Coturnix japonica: one gene and its partners. The main gene of each other region encodes a partner of the protein of the gene in region 2 in a complex. Links are inferred from orthologs where the notes say so. Each region holds a gene or a part of one and is shown on either strand. Other genes may lie near its edges.

Region 1 (3,566 bases), on a different chromosome or scaffold from region 2:
TGGTACACTGAACACCAAGTCCTTTTCTCTGACAGTATTTCACCTGACTGAACTTTAAGGAGCAGCTCATAAAATGTCATTTATTTTCTCCACAGCAGAAGGCACAATGTCCAGAAGGAAAATGTAAAATACAAAGTACAAGTGACAACTTACAACTGCGATTTGTTGGTGTTAGGCCCCGAATTGGCCATACTAAGGATACCACGTCCTGTATGGGACAAGTTGGGCTTGAATTCATCTTTAAATGGTTTTCCCCAATACGACTCTCCTCCTGAAAAAAAAGAAAAAATGATAGATGACATGTTTGTTTTCATTAGCCTCCCAGTACATCTTACATCAGACACCGGCAGTAAATTCCAAGTTCCTGGGGCTTCTGATTGCTGTGTTTGTAATATATTCCTACCTCATCCCTATGACTAGGCCAGTATCTGAGCACGCCCTTGAAATCAGATGTCTGTAACCAGCAATACAATTCTGTGCCTCCGCACCACTATCATCTGCAACAGATGAGACTGTTTATCAGCAGCATTACGTATCATGTGGCAAAGAACTGCCGAGGATTCATTTATTTGTACTGCTCATCCACCACAGTGTTTCTTTTTTGAGACATTCAGTCTTCAAGTGTGGTTGACTGAAAAAAGACAGGGAGCAAAGAATTACTGATTTAACTGCACTCTGGATACAGCAATTCTTCCAAAATTATAACATTAGGGAGATGGAATATGTTTACAGCATCAACTAAGAATAGGGACTACAAGCTCAAAAGCTTCTGGATAAACAATGAAAAAAAGATGATTTATATTCCTTCAAAATAAATAGATATCTCAGACTAGATACATGGATGATGTAAACCCTTAAATACAATTAAGTCTGTGGATGATAAAACTTTGTGCCAGCCACAGACCCAGCCCTCAAAACTGATTTCTGCATCTGTGGATAGAAAAGAGGGTCCGTGAGACTTCTCCAGGCTGTCATTTTTACATTATTTATGACAGACCTGCCATTTTCATTTGCACTTTCCTCCAGGATCGTTCTTAATAAGAAAAACGAAGGCTGAGATGAGTCACAATTTTACGGCCAAATCCATAATCTTGCTTGACAAACCATGAAAAATATATCACCTTAGGACAGGATTAAAAATAAAACAAACACAAGTACCCAGACAGGCATCAAAGACTGGTCCATGTGCAGAACCACTCAAGAGTCCTCTTGAGTCACTGAATCACTTACAGAGCAGAGGTCAGTAAAAGACCTGCAGCATGCAGTGGCTACTTGCACATGTAACACACAGAGGCTACTTGATGACACAGCTGCACGGACAAGCAGCAAATTAAGTGAGAGCATAAAACAAATTCCTACTGAAAACCACGTGTGGAAAATCACAAGTGTGCATCAAACGAGAGCAGAGTTCCAGATGATACCACCAGAACAATGACTCACAGGTGGGCAGCTGCAGGTGGAATTAACTAACCCAGCAATTCTGGAAGAAAATGACCCACTTAAAAACCCAATTAATCATGTTCAAAAGACCTATTAATAGAGTTGAGTGCTGCCCACTCTGCAGTTTTACAAGAGGAAGCAAAAGAGTACAAACCCTGCAGGACTTTCTGTAATCAGGAGGAGAAAAGGAGCCACTACTTCAATTCAGCTCAATTACATCAGCTTGATTCTGTACAACAACCCCCTCCCACACTGCCTGAAAGGTGCACGGTAAAGCTGCAGCACACCCTGCCGTCATGAAGATGGATCCCAGCACCAGCTCTTCTGGCCAAATCGCATTCAGCCTACTACAAAATGCCAACATTTTGCTTTGATAATGAATATCCCTGTGTGTTTCTATGGGAGGTCACTCGTGTACTGCCTATTACCTGCCTCACTCTGTAGTTGCACACAAACAAGCAGGGATTGGAATGCAGCAGGGCTGCACGTGCTGCCCAAAACCAACAGCACACCTGCACAGCATGCAGGCTCCACTGGCTGCACTGTGCTCTGTGCACTGCATTCCTCTCCCACTTTGCCTTGCTCAGCTCTGCCCGTCGCACTGCAGCCATCCAGACACAGCCTGCAGCCCTGCAGCCTTGGCCCCACTCCTCACCAGCACTGCAGCTCACACACCTCTGCCCCCAGACACACTCATGTTCCACACTCCCTTCCAGAAATAGGTAACATTGCTTCAAAGGATGTCCTGAAGGAACTCCTCATCATTTGCAAAGCAGATGCACTATCAGCCTTAACCCAGAGGAGTAGAAATTCTCAGATGATATGCAAACATAAGCAGATGCGATGGAGATGGCATGTAGCAGCAAGCGGCCGAAGCCCCGAGCCTGCTGCACCCTTCACAGGTTCAGCAGATGCTGAATGATGGCCTCATCAGGCTGCTGGAGGTGGTGGAATGGAGATGGGTGCAAGGCCTGGCAGCACGGCTGTCACGGTGAGGTGGGGATGCAGCGAAGGTGCTGAGACACCAATGGAATAGATGGAATTGGAATGATTTTACTTTATTCTTCAAACACAAGAACCAAACGTTTTCCCTTTAAATTAAAAATGGCCAATTAAAAATTGCTGTTTGTCAAACAATTCCTGACCTCTGGAATTGTTCCAAGCTTCCAGCATCTACATGAAGCAGCAGCCAGAAGACAGCGAGTTAAAAGGACTATGTTTTTAATTACTGAAACCCAGAATCACTTTCTCCATGAGAATTAAGCACAAATCCCTCATTAGCCTACTGGCACAGCAGCACAGTGCCTAATGCTCAGCCAGCACAGCCTGGAACAGGAATTATAGACCTTTGCATTTTCCATTATATAGAAGAGCTCAATGTAAGTTTGAGAAAACAGCTCACAGGCCACAAGCCGGCACTGATAAAGATGAGGCATTCTGAAGTACCAAACAGACTGCACTGTGTTTATTCTCAGCATGGCTGGGAGGCGTGGATGTGCCACCTCCACTGCGACCAACAGCAGAGCGGCTGCAAACAGAGCAGGAGGAGGTGGAACCGTGTGGTCATTCCCTGCACATGCCATAAGCAGAGCAGGCTCCTCCTTTATCCCCCAGATTTTCCTCTGAGGTTGCATAGATCACCAGTGACTATATATGGAAACCCTATGATGCAAAATCTGAACCCAAAGCCAACTTCCCAGGCCGCAAGCAGAGCCCATGGAAAACAAGAATCGTGTCTGGGTGTTCCATTCAGCGCTGCCTGGCACTCACCTGCCCCACACTTTGCCCCCAGATAAGATAATCTTCTGTCACAGTGGAATCGTGCCCCTGTGCACTTGAAATGTTATTGAGCTGCCATTACAGGAAGTGCTGTAAAATACTTTGGAGACTTCTGTGCCAAAATCAAAGAGGTTCACAAGGGAGCAGACAGGGCTTCACTCTGGACCAGGACTGGGAAGGTGACAGCTGAGCTGTGACTGTGCCCTGGAGCAAGGTTAGTTATCCAGCCTCATTTCCGCATACTGTGCTAATAGGAAAGGTGAATAGATATCACCTGCCAAATGCAGCAATCAAATATTAGTAAGTATAAAAGTCATATTTTCAGATTGTGTTTCAAACTAAAAATA
Region 2 (3,566 bases):
CAATGGGTTGATTAGATGGAGAGAATTCCTCATTCCACAAAGCTATGGAACTCTCTGCTGTGGAGTTACCTTAGCTCCAATAACAACTGCCAGTGCTGTGCAAATCTGCTGCTTTCAGATTACCACTGACTGCTACCAGGGGGGATAATTTGCTCTGTCTGTCTATACAAAATATAGCAGTCTGTTGTTGTATGAATCCCAGCAGCAAGCAGCGTGGAGATGGGGAGATAGATAGAGCCATCTCCTGCAGCACAGATGGAATGCTTTCATGCTTTGTCACATCCCTGTTTCTCACTCAGAATCCATATCTGTGGCCCAGGGATGCAGCCAAGTGTAGCTTATGAACTGCTGGGCAGCTGCAGGGGATGTTCTCTGAGTTGAAGAGTTCAATAGCAGCTGTTTTGGAAAAAAATGTGAAAAATAAGGAACTGGAGGATGAGTCTGTTTATAGCAGCAAGTGGGTGTCGCACAAAATGTGCTCCTGTGAGATGAGCAACGAGCACACTGGCTCATTAGACCTAATTATATCTCAATCCCACACACGTTACTGACATCAGTGACACCCAGATGCTGTTGTTTCCAGCAGAGTCCATCCCACCTGCTGTACTTTCTCCATGTTCCATATTTCATGCCCTGTGCATCTGCTGGCCTGGCTGCCTCTGCTCTTGTTCCAGTCTGGTTAATTTTCCCTCGTGCAGATGAAGAGAACTATGAGGTGAGCAGCGATGAGGAGGATATGCCTTTCAAATGCTTCATCTGCAGAAGTTCCTTCAAGAACCCCGTGGTCACCAAGTAAGGAGCCAAAACATCTGTAGTGGGCTGAGTCCTTCAGTCAGTCAGTCATTCTCTTTGGTAGCAAACACTGGCATTGTCCACATGCTGGTGGAAGGAGCACGCTTGTTTGCTTTTCTGGTGGGTGGGGAAAGCCTCTGCTATGCAGGGAGTTTCATAACTACATCTCAAGCATCAACTTGGTGGGGTCTCAAGCCTTTGTTGTCCAAGAACCTTTTATATTTCTATAGATGCTGCCTGATCACATCACCTTGCACCTGTGCTGTCTCTGGGAGAGCTGATGCTGCATAGGGCTCTGTACATCCAGCTTATTTTTGCATCCCTCAGGGCTCAGTAGTTGATGATCTCTAACTCCTGGATGCAGCAGTTGTATCTGGTGACTGGCAGTACCGTCTGTTTCTCCATACAGGTGCAGGCATTACTTCTGTGAGAGCTGTGCCCTCCAACACTATCGCAAATCCCAGCGCTGTTACGTGTGTGATAAGCAGACCAATGGAGTCTTCAACCCAGCCAAAGGTAACGGCCACCTGTGGGATAGAGCTGCTGTATGATCACAGCATTCGGCTGCAAGGTGGAGCTCACAGGCAGAACTTCTCTCAGTGCTTGGAAACACCACATCAGGGCCTGGGTGCCACCACAGGGGTAAAAAAAGAGTGTTTGTGTTTGCCCAGAGGGGGAGACTGATTTCTGGTGAGGGTGCTGGGAGTGCAGACAGTAGCTCTTCTGGTCAGTAATCCACTGACAGAGCCTGGAACTTTAGCATCTGAAGCCCCACTGAAGGGCTCAGTGTTTGGTGGTAGTTCCTGGCTTAGCTTTTGTGCAGATGAGTGATTTTTGGTAGGTGCTTTGGTTCCAGGACAGAGCTGTGTTGGCAGGTCCTGGGCATCCAGCTTTGCTACTGGCCATTCCATGTTGCACCTGGAATCTCATCCTGCATCTTCCTGCTTTTCAGAGCTCATGGCAAAATTGGAAAAACACAAAGGGGAGGAGGAAGAGGAGGAGTCAGACCACTCAGAACATGGTGAAGACCCACACTAGCAAAGCACTCTGTTTTGTATGGAGCCCAATAAAGTTTTCATGGGAAGAATGCACAGATCACAGCACTTGCCTTTGGGCCAGCAGCTGCAGCCATTGGTGGTTCATCCAACCAGGCCTTGTTAAAATGGGGGCACGAGTGGTGCCAGTTGTCAGAGAAGACACAGGACAGAATGGGTAAGCTGAGTTGTCTTCTGTGCCATTAGTAGGACCACGAGGGCCTGGGGAGGGAGGGTCTGAATTTTGTTCAGTCAAATCAAATGCTAAAAGCAGAGAGAAGAATGAAAACTATTGGCTTGTACCAAGTTTATCTGTCACTTTGGAAATGCTGTTTGGGAGGTAAGCCAGACTGCTGCAGTTAGTTGTGATTTATTGCAGCTCAGAGGAGCGTATTCCCTCCCATCTTTTCTGCTGCCTTTTGATCTCTAGAAGTCAAGAGCTTAAAGTAACATCAAACAGGATTCAGGACTTCAGAGAGTGATACCACTGTGGAATCATCCCTTGGGGAGGAAGCCAGCAGCTGTACCATGTCCCTAATGCAAGGTTTTATGCCATCAGTGGTACTTCTCTCAATGATTTTTCCCTTGCTGCAACCAGCTCTGTCCAGGCCTGTGGGATGGGGATAAGAATTTGGGCAAGAAGGAAACTTCACAATGGGTTGAACTGCAAGATGCAACCTCCTAAGTATGGAGCTGAGAAGAGCATAAGCTTCCATCACCCTGCAGAAACAGCAGACTTACAAACTTCAGAAATATTTTATTTTGGAAAAAAAAAAAAAAAAAACCCAAAAACTAGAGTAACAAATTTCATCTGGCTTCAAGTCGTTTACAAACAGAAGGACCTGCTGTCAGCACCGCTCCTCCCATCAAGCACGCTTACAGGGCTGGAATCCCAGTGCTTCATTTGAGAGTGGAAAGAGCTCCAGCACCTGTGGTCCTTGGAAAGGTCAAACTAAAAAGCCTTAAACACGCCTCCAAAACCAAATGCTGTGAGCTGTCACAGCCAGGGATCAAGGGAAGCTGTGTGAAAAGCAAGCAAAGGATTTTTATATCTCATTCATTTGGGGATGATGGTACAGCAATGGCAACAGAGGGCTTAGATCAGTGAGCGTAACATTCAAAGAGGTGTTTTGTGAGTAAGAGGATTTGGTGTGAAAATTACTTTCCCTCCATGCCAAGTCACTGAGCACGGGCTGGTATGGATATTCCATGCTGTAAAAGCAGCCCAGCTAACAGGAGGCTGAGCTGGATGTGCTGTGGGAGGTTAGAAAAGCTGGTATGTTGCACAGAATTACACATTAGGATTTGATGACCCAGGCAGCCATGGGAGGAGATGGGGATGGCATCTGACCTGGAGCTCAGAGCACACAGCCTCAACTGAGAGGAGTCTTAAAAGCTCTCTCCAGAGCTGGAGCAGAGCTCAGAAGTGCAGAGGAAAGCCCAGTGCAGTGAATGTGCCCGCGACAGCCTCAGGTTACCTTCTGGTTCTCATTTTCCACCATAAAGAAGTGACCAAGCTTAAGAATGCACTCCTTTCTGCACCCTCAGAAGTTACCCAGTAACAACACAAATCCGACTAGCTCTAAGAAAATGCCCAAAACTAAGAACTGCTTTCCTCCCCTTCTTAACTCTAAGGCACCCTTTAAAAAATACATATAAAAAAATAGGGTCGTGCAGCCTTCACCTGTGAGACGAGGAAGCCAATCCTTTTTAGAAACAAGGGGAAAGAGACCATAACTG
Region 3 (4,258 bases), on a different chromosome or scaffold from region 2:
CAGGACCATGAGAAAACAAAAGAGGGCACCAAATGAAGATGATATTGATAAGTAATGCATTAATACCACAGTAGTATAAAACTCCTAAGTGCTTTCACACTTAACAATAATACCAAATTAAAGAAGTGTTGTTACTACAGTATTAGAAACATTTGTTTTGATGTTTTCTCAGGCAGCGATCCCTCCCACAAACTTCAGATTTGCATTACAATTACAGCTGTTGGACTGAAGGCCCAGAAAGGTCACACAGGTTCAGTCGCCAGCTAAAGATGTTTACCCTATCTGAAATTCTGAACCAGAACTAGAGCACAGCTACTGTGCATGTGTAACCTCACTCAGAATCTGAAGACCCTGACCAAGAGATGAGATGTGCTACTATCAGTAATACTAGTGACTACATTTACAGACCTTTGCCAGTTCAGGTAAAATGTACATAACTCACATTTCTGCTCCTCAGTTTGACACACAAATCCATAGAATGCTTTGGGACCTTATATATCACCCAGTTCCAACCCCCTGTCATGGGCAGGGTTACCTCTCACTAGACTGGGTTATCCAAAGCCCCATCCAGCCTGGCCTTAAGCACTCACAGGGATGACGCATCCATAGCTTTTGCAGGCCATCTGTTCATTGCCTTATCACTTTCTGAGTTAAGAATTTCTTCCTAATGTCTAACTTAAATCTACTGTACAAAATACCCCTATCTTTTATCACTCCCTGACAAAGAGTCCTTCTTCAGCTTTCCTGTAGGTCCCCTTTAGGTACTGGAAGACCATTGTATGGCCTCTGCAGACTCCTCTCTTCTCCAAGCTGAACAAGTCCAGCTCCCTTAACCATTCTTCACAGATGTGCTCCTGCCCTCTGATCACCTTTGTGGCATCCTCTGGGCCTGCTTCCTATGTTCCTTCTTGTGCTGGAGACTCTAGACCTGCATGAAATAGTTTAGATGGGGCCTCATGAGGGCAGAGCAGAGGACAGCCATGTCCCCCTTTCAGTGAAGCCCAGGATACAGTCAGCCTTCTGGGCTGCATTTCCCACTGTGGGCTCACACTGAGTTTCTCATCAACCAGCACCCCTCACAGCTGCTCTCAATCCATTCTCTGCTCAGCCTGTACTTGTGCTTAGGATTGTCCCGATATAGGAGCAGGACACTGCACTTGTTCTTGTTTAACTTTATGAAGTTAAAACACTTGCTCTGAACAGTTTTCTCTCCTAGTTTTATCTTGTTGAAGTGAACATTAATAGGGTTATACGTTTATCACAGAACTGAAACAGACAGATTTAAGAACACTCAATTCTAAAATGCACATTCAAAAATATTGAAGCATGTGCAAATTTAGAATATGAATGAACTTTAGCATAAAATATAGAATAAACTGCATTCCTTATACAAAATTTGTTTACTCAAAAAATTCACACACAGTAGCAAGGACAACTGCCAGAGACTAAGCAAACATCAACATGCACAAGATATACAGCTACATACCTTGAAGGGAGCTCCATAGATTGAATCTCCACCTGACCCAGTACCAGTGGGATCACCTCCCTGCACTATAAAACCTGGCACAACTCTGTGAAATATTGTATTATTGTAATACTCTAAAAAAGAAAGAGAAAATACATTAAATACATTTAAGTTATCTAAAATCACACCTCAATAGAGATTATGCAGACATATCAGTGACTCATGAAGAAATGAACATGCAGTAAGCACATGATACAGGAATGACCTTAACAGGAGAAGTCCAAACACAGCATCACTGACATTTTCTACGTTCATTAAAGCTGCAATACTTTGTATAAACTTCCTGAAGACAAGCCTTCCTAAACATGTGACAACTCCTACATCTAAGAAAACCACCAAAAAATTGTACTTTTCACATCCATTGGTTTCCTTAATGACTTTAAAAAAACGTTCTTGGTCTGGATAGCAGATAATATAAATAATTAGTTAACATATTAAAACTTACTTATGACCTACCTTTTCCATAACTGTCACCAAAATACCAATATTGCACATGAAATAATTCTAACAAGTCCTACCCCATTTTGCCATTACCTTCCATACAAAGCTGGATAAAATTTCGACATGCTTTTGGTGCTTCTTTTGACCACAATTCTATATCGATATCTCCTGCTGTAGTTCTCAGCAAGACCTGCAAAATTTTTATAAACAAACCATTAGTTTTATTGCAACTTAGACACTAATAAACAAATATTACTACTAAGTTAAAAAACACTCCTAAATTCATAACATTAACAACAGCCGTAGATAAGTAGTAAGCAGGAGTCGGACTTGTTCTGGAGAAGGCTCCTGGGAGACCTCACTACAGCCTTCCAGTATTTAAAGTAAGGATATAAACAAGAAGGAAACCAATTTTTTACATGCGTAGTTAGTGACAGGACAAGGGCGGATGGTTTTAAAGTGGAAGAGAGAAGATTTAGATTGGCTGAGTGGCAAAAGTTATTTACTCAGAGGGTGGTGAGGCACTGCCCAGAGAAGCAGTGGGTGCTCCATCCCTGGAGGAGTCAAGGCCATGCTGGATGGGGCGCTGGGCAGCCTGAGCTGGTGGGGGATGACAACTAACGGAGGGTAGAATATTAAATACTCTTAGTATTTCCACAGTGAGACAACACAGAAAAGGAATATGCCTTAAACCTCTAGCGGCACGCTCTTATTACAAGAGACATCAATACAGATCAATAAATGCGAATTCCTATCAAAGCGGTAAACATAAGCGTCCGAGAGCGATAACACCGGACTCGTGCCCCTCGCCCTCGCTGCCCGCAGGATCCTCACCTTGCCGTTGGTGGGGGGCTCCTGGATGTAGATGTTGCTCATGCTGAGGAAGGGGTGTCGTGGCGGAACGCACCGCCCGAGCCCAACGCTAACAACACTGCCTCTCTACCCGCGCTACTGCCCGCAGCCCGCCGCCATCTTGGGCGCCTCTACACAGTACAATGTGGCGGGGGGAAGGTGTGACTGCTCAGAGCTGTGGGAGAAAGAATTGCTCCTCCGATGGGGGAATCACTCAGTGAATTCTTTCCGAAAGGATGTGAAGGCTTTTCCAGACACCTCCGCTCGCTTCTCGTCGCCCCGGCTCGGTACTGAGCACCCCGTCCTCCCCGCGAGTGGCGCGGCCCGAGAGTGCTCCGGCCAAATCCTTCCGGCGGGGACAGGCGCTGCGTTGTTCCTGGGCCCGGCTGTGTGGAGGACGCCATGGCTCTGCCGGGTGAGGAGAGCCGCGGGGCTGCGGGGCGGATGGCTGGGAGGCGTGCGGAGGGGGAGGGTCGGCAGCGCTGTTCGTGAGGTGGTGGGGCCCGAGGAGCGGCTTGCGGTGCGTTTCCCAGCCTGCAGAGCTGCAATGGTACGGCGGGGCTGGGGGCTCCAGCAGCCCTCCTGCGCTCCGTATGCGGCCCTCGCCTGTAGTTTTGTGGGTGCTGAGGCCCACGGCTGCGCTCCTGCCTTCTGCAGGTGTACGCTGCCTTCCTTAGGGGTCCCAAGAATGGCATCGTTCCGCATGTTTTTTTTCTCCTTGTGCCCCAGATTAGCGCCTGCCTGCAGCTAGGTTGTTTAAATGAAGGGTTTAAGAGCAGTGGTGCAGCCAGCGCGGGCAGAAATTGTGTATTTCACCAGGTATTCAGCCTGTGTCATCCTGAGGTATGGGTTTGACTGGAGAAAATTGAGTAAGCTTGAACCTTGCTGTGAGTTCAACAGCAAACCATGGGACTTCAAGGCTCCTCTGGTTCTTTTAGTAGGATTTACTAAAGATGGTACTTCTCTTAATAAATCAAAATTTAAACTCGTGATGCTGATGTACCCCCTTTCTGGTTCCCTAATTTCATAGTTTTCTTCTTATGTTAGGTTGATTATTTAAATAAAGGAACTAGTTTTATGGAAAGCTGTGTATACAACTGTTTAATTTTCCATATTTTTCATACTGGATAGAAAGATACCCTTTGATTTTGGAAATGCTGTTTTGCTTAGAATTATGAATTGACTCAGCAATCCTTTTGTGGGCAACAGGTCTCCAGGCTTTGTCTTGTGAGTTAGATCTTGCTGATCTTCTTAACTGAGGGCGTAGGCACAAAGAGCAACTTTGCCTAAATCCAGAAGAGTTACTAAGCCAGATTTAAAGGGAACTTTTAAGACTTATGTTTAGTAACAAGTGATTGATGAAATTTTCTGTTTCAGGTGCAAATAAGGATAACATCAGAGCAGGATGCAAGAAATGTGGCTACCGTAAGTCTATATAGT
Region 4 (3,566 bases), on a different chromosome or scaffold from region 2:
TACAAAAAATCCTTTCTGTCTCCCTTTCCCTAGAGGAGTATTACTGATGCTGTAGGAAAGCATTATGTGAAAAATGCACGCTGGTTTTGATGGATGAAGTTCTTAGGGCACAGAATTTGTGATAAGCTGGCATTTATATGAAAGAGTAGGATGGTGTTCAGAAATAGATAACTGAATTTTAACTGAATTACAGCAGGCAGTTGTAATTGAGATTTGAGGAGATTTTTATGTTTGGTTGTTTGTTGGTTTTTGTTGTTTTTTTTTTTAATTTTTCTTTTTGCTTCCTTGTGGATTTTGTTTAAAACTGACAGAGGTGGGGAGGGGGGGGGTCAGGAGCTCTAATTTTTCCAAGTCTGCACTATTTAAAGTATGAAAATCAATACATTCGTGCAGTCTGCAGACGTAGTGATACAAATGCATGGGCACATATTTGATGAAATACTAGTTTTTAGTGGCTCTCCTGTTACTGTACATGTAGCAGTGTTCATAATTTAATAAGTCAGCAGTGCTTTGGCCCCTAAGTGTGTTCTCCATTTTCCTGTGTGTGTTGGATGGAGTGATGGTGATAGTGTTGTTGTGTGGTGGTGGTGGTGTTTGTTTTAGATTGTTGTGATGAGACCTATGATGCTGAGGCATGTTATCTGTATGAGCAGCTAAGCAGTGTATTGTTTCTTTCTCTAGGTTTAACAGTGTTTGAAACGGGACAAAAGAAAATTGAAAAAAGGAAGAAATTCAAGGAGAATGATGCATCTAACATTGATGGTTTTCTGGGACCATGGGCGAAGTACGTTGACGAAAAAGAAGTAGCCAAACCTTCAGAAGTAAGTACTGCTTTAAGACTGTAAACACAAACTGCTAGTGCATCGTGATGCAATAATATATTATGTGGTGGTTTTAATAGAGATCCAGTGTGTCTCAACCAGAAGGTGTGCTTTAGGGTGATAGAAACATTCCCAGTTCTAACGGTGAATAGGGGGGTTCTGAATGTTGTGCATTCCATTGTATTGAAAGACTGGAAATAGAATGAATTATATCTGTGTGTTACATGTAGAGTCTGACGAAAGATCCTTATAAACAGGAGCAACTTGGAAAGAAATGAAAGTAAATTTATATTTATTTTAAGGAAAAGGGAGATTGGTCTTTTTGTTGTTGTTCTTTTCTTTAAAGCAACAACACAACCAATAAATGTCCTTCACATTGAGTCCATGGTGCTTAGCCATAGTCTGTAAATAAAATGATTATATTTAATTATTTTCAGTGTACTTAGCTTTTCAAGCTAATCTGCTTTTGATAAAGGTATTCTATTGATGCTTAGAAATATTTCTGATCTCACTTAGCAATATGTGTATTCTTAATAGCAAATAAACAGTAATGCAGTTTTGGATTTTGTTAAATCGTTCTGAACGTTTATTTTGTTAAAAGTCAAGATCATGTTTTATTTTTCCAGGAAGAACAGAAGGAGTTGGATGAAATAACAGCTAAGAGGCAGAAGAGAGGAAAACTAGAAGATGATAAACCTGGAGAGGAGAAGACTATATTACACGGTAATGGCATCTTCCTGCCTGTTCTCATTTTCCTGCACACCGTGTTTTCTTGCCTGCTGTGTTAATTAGTAAGGATGGCAGACAGCCTCAGCAAAACTGCTGAGGCACCTTGATGTTTCTGTTTTGGAGATAATAGCACTCACAGGCATAAGCATAAAGGGCAAGGAAAGAGATAAGCTTGGACCAATTCCACATCATACTGTGAAGAGCAGCGTGGAAATGTCATCTTTCAGGGTACTGGTTTTATTTATTTCTTTTTAATCTCAGTAGGTATGCATATCTTCTTCATATTATAGAAAGGAAAAAAACGGTGAGATTATGTGCTTGGTTTAGCCTGAGCTTCGGAATGACCACAGTTTTGTCTTTTGGTACTTTTATCAGCAAGTAGTGCTTTGAATTACAGACATAACATTTAGAAAATCACTTGGACCCTGTACTTCCTCCATTCTTAATGTGAACATTCTTGCTATCATACTATGAATAATTATTTATCAAATGATTACCCTGTTGAGGCCTATAGCATACGATAACCTCAAAGAAAAACATGAGAAAATAAAGTAAGTAAAATTAAGTGATTTTTGGAAACTGTTGTTTCATCTGTCTGTATGCAAAACTGTCCTACGTGGCAACACTTGGCACAGGTAGTTCCACCTGTCTGTGTACCATCACCTAAAGTTTCACAGTCGAAGTCCTTACAAGATAAATTTTAATCTTCTCAAACTGAAGCCTTCCAGAAAAAAACACTGCTCTGTAGACACCTTCAGACATTGATGCTGAGCAGAAGGTCATTTGTACAAGCAAAACAGTCATATCAATACCCAAGAAACATAAATTAATTAAATCAGCGCACATCTTAATGTCAACAGATGAGTCTACTTTGGAATATCAATTTACAGGACAATGCACCCTGCATGTGTGAGCATCCAGGCACTTCTGCGAAATCTAGTTAAAGAACAGATGTTAGCTGCTGACTGCTATTGGTGGAGCAGTTGGTTCATATTGATGAAGGATCTTTTTTTTCTCTGATTTGCAATTCTACTGAAATGACTGTTAAAGCACAGAGCCCGGTGGAATGTAAATTGCAAGCAAATGCCAGAGTTAGAGTGCAGGTTATAAACTGTGTGGAGTTAGTGCGAGCAAACCCCTATTGTCTTCAGGAACACTGTGGCATTTTGAGGTAAGCTGGGTAAGGGGGAGATTGTTTTGTTCAAATTATCAGCTTCCAATCAGATTTGCTGAAATGGCTTCATTTAAGTACAACTCATCAGAATCCATATCCTATGACATGGATTTATTTTCTTATCATCCCTCTTCCCACCCTTCTTCAGAGCAAGTCAGCTGTGTTGAAAAAAGCCTTAAATATGTGTTAGTTGAATCTTCCTAAGATTATTACCCCTTAAAATACAATCTCTGAGATTCTCTGAATTCTCCATTTACCTTTTTAGTTAAAGAAATGTACGACTATCAGGGGAGATCTTACCTTCATGTTCCTCAAGATGTTGGAGTTAATCTCCGTTCCACAATGCCACCTGAGAAGTGCTATCTTCCAAAGAAACAAATCCATGTATGGTCTGGACATACAAAGGTAGGAAGTTTTGGAATGTACCTCATAAAAATGCACTTTGTTTTCAATCTGAACTTATATAAAACTGAATCATTGGTAGAAGAAACAGAGGTTTTTTCTCGTTTATGACATCGTGCACACAGTTGGCAGCATTATACACCTGCACAAGGTGTTCACATGGTCAGATATGATTGTTTGTGATATCTGTATAAACTTTTTTCATGAGCATCCCCACATCTTTTGAAGGAACGAATATTCTTCATTCACCTTTGCGGGGTTTTGAGTTATTTACTAAATTGCCACGTGAATAAGAGAAAGACTAATTCTAGAGATAACAGAAAATGCATTTGTAGACTAGAAGTACTTAAATGCTATTTCACATCAAACCAATGAAAAGTTGAATAGGTTTTGTCATTGTAATACATAACAGGATTCCTAAACATGATTATTAACTTGCT

The links.
Region 1: RNF113A (region 2) and PPIL2 share a complex: the UniProt entries of both Homo sapiens proteins name them as parts of the minor spliceosome. The link is inferred for Coturnix japonica from reciprocal best matches to the Homo sapiens genes RNF113A and PPIL2.
Region 3: RNF113A (region 2) and spliceosome-associated protein CWC27 homolog share a complex: the UniProt entries of both Homo sapiens proteins name them as parts of the minor spliceosome. The link is inferred for Coturnix japonica from reciprocal best matches to the Homo sapiens genes RNF113A and CWC27.
Region 4: RNF113A (region 2) and CDC40 share a complex: the UniProt entries of both Homo sapiens proteins name them as parts of the pre-catalytic and catalytic spliceosome complex. The link is inferred for Coturnix japonica from reciprocal best matches to the Homo sapiens genes RNF113A and CDC40.

The regions. Positions count from the first base shown.
Region 1 is NC_029530.1:456,502-460,067, forward strand, and holds part of PPIL2 (RING-type E3 ubiquitin-protein ligase PPIL2), read right to left. Parts: intron 272-3,566; coding exon 154-271; intron 1-153. UniProt on the Homo sapiens protein: Has a ubiquitin-protein ligase activity acting as an E3 ubiquitin protein ligase or as an ubiquitin-ubiquitin ligase promoting elongation of ubiquitin chains on substrates.
Region 2 is NC_029542.1:2,233,417-2,236,982, forward strand, and holds part of RNF113A (E3 ubiquitin-protein ligase RNF113A), read left to right. Parts: intron 1-698; coding exon 699-792; intron 793-1,201; coding exon 1,202-1,308; intron 1,309-1,744; coding exon 1,745-1,830; 3' UTR 1,831-2,004; intron 2,005-3,511; exon of another isoform or gene 3,512-3,566. UniProt on the Homo sapiens protein: Required for pre-mRNA splicing as component of the spliceosome. As a component of the minor spliceosome, involved in the splicing of U12-type introns in pre-mRNAs. E3 ubiquitin-protein ligase that catalyzes the transfer of ubiquitin onto target proteins.
Region 3 is NC_029547.1:21,417,320-21,421,577, reverse strand, and holds the start of spliceosome-associated protein CWC27 homolog, read right to left. Parts: upstream 2,843-4,258; coding exon 2,801-2,842; intron 2,157-2,800; coding exon 2,060-2,156; intron 1,600-2,059; coding exon 1,487-1,599; intron 1-1,486. Other genes in the region: protein SREK1IP1, read left to right, coding at 2,832-3,233, 4,196-4,256. UniProt on the Homo sapiens protein: As part of the spliceosome, plays a role in pre-mRNA splicing. Probable inactive PPIase with no peptidyl-prolyl cis-trans isomerase activity. As a component of the minor spliceosome, involved in the splicing of U12-type introns in pre-mRNAs.
Region 4 is NC_029518.1:60,620,710-60,624,275, reverse strand, and holds part of CDC40 (pre-mRNA-processing factor 17), read left to right. Parts: intron 1-681; coding exon 682-821; intron 822-1,447; coding exon 1,448-1,544; intron 1,545-2,989; coding exon 2,990-3,129; intron 3,130-3,566. UniProt on the Homo sapiens protein: Required for pre-mRNA splicing as component of the activated spliceosome. Plays an important role in embryonic brain development; this function does not require proline isomerization.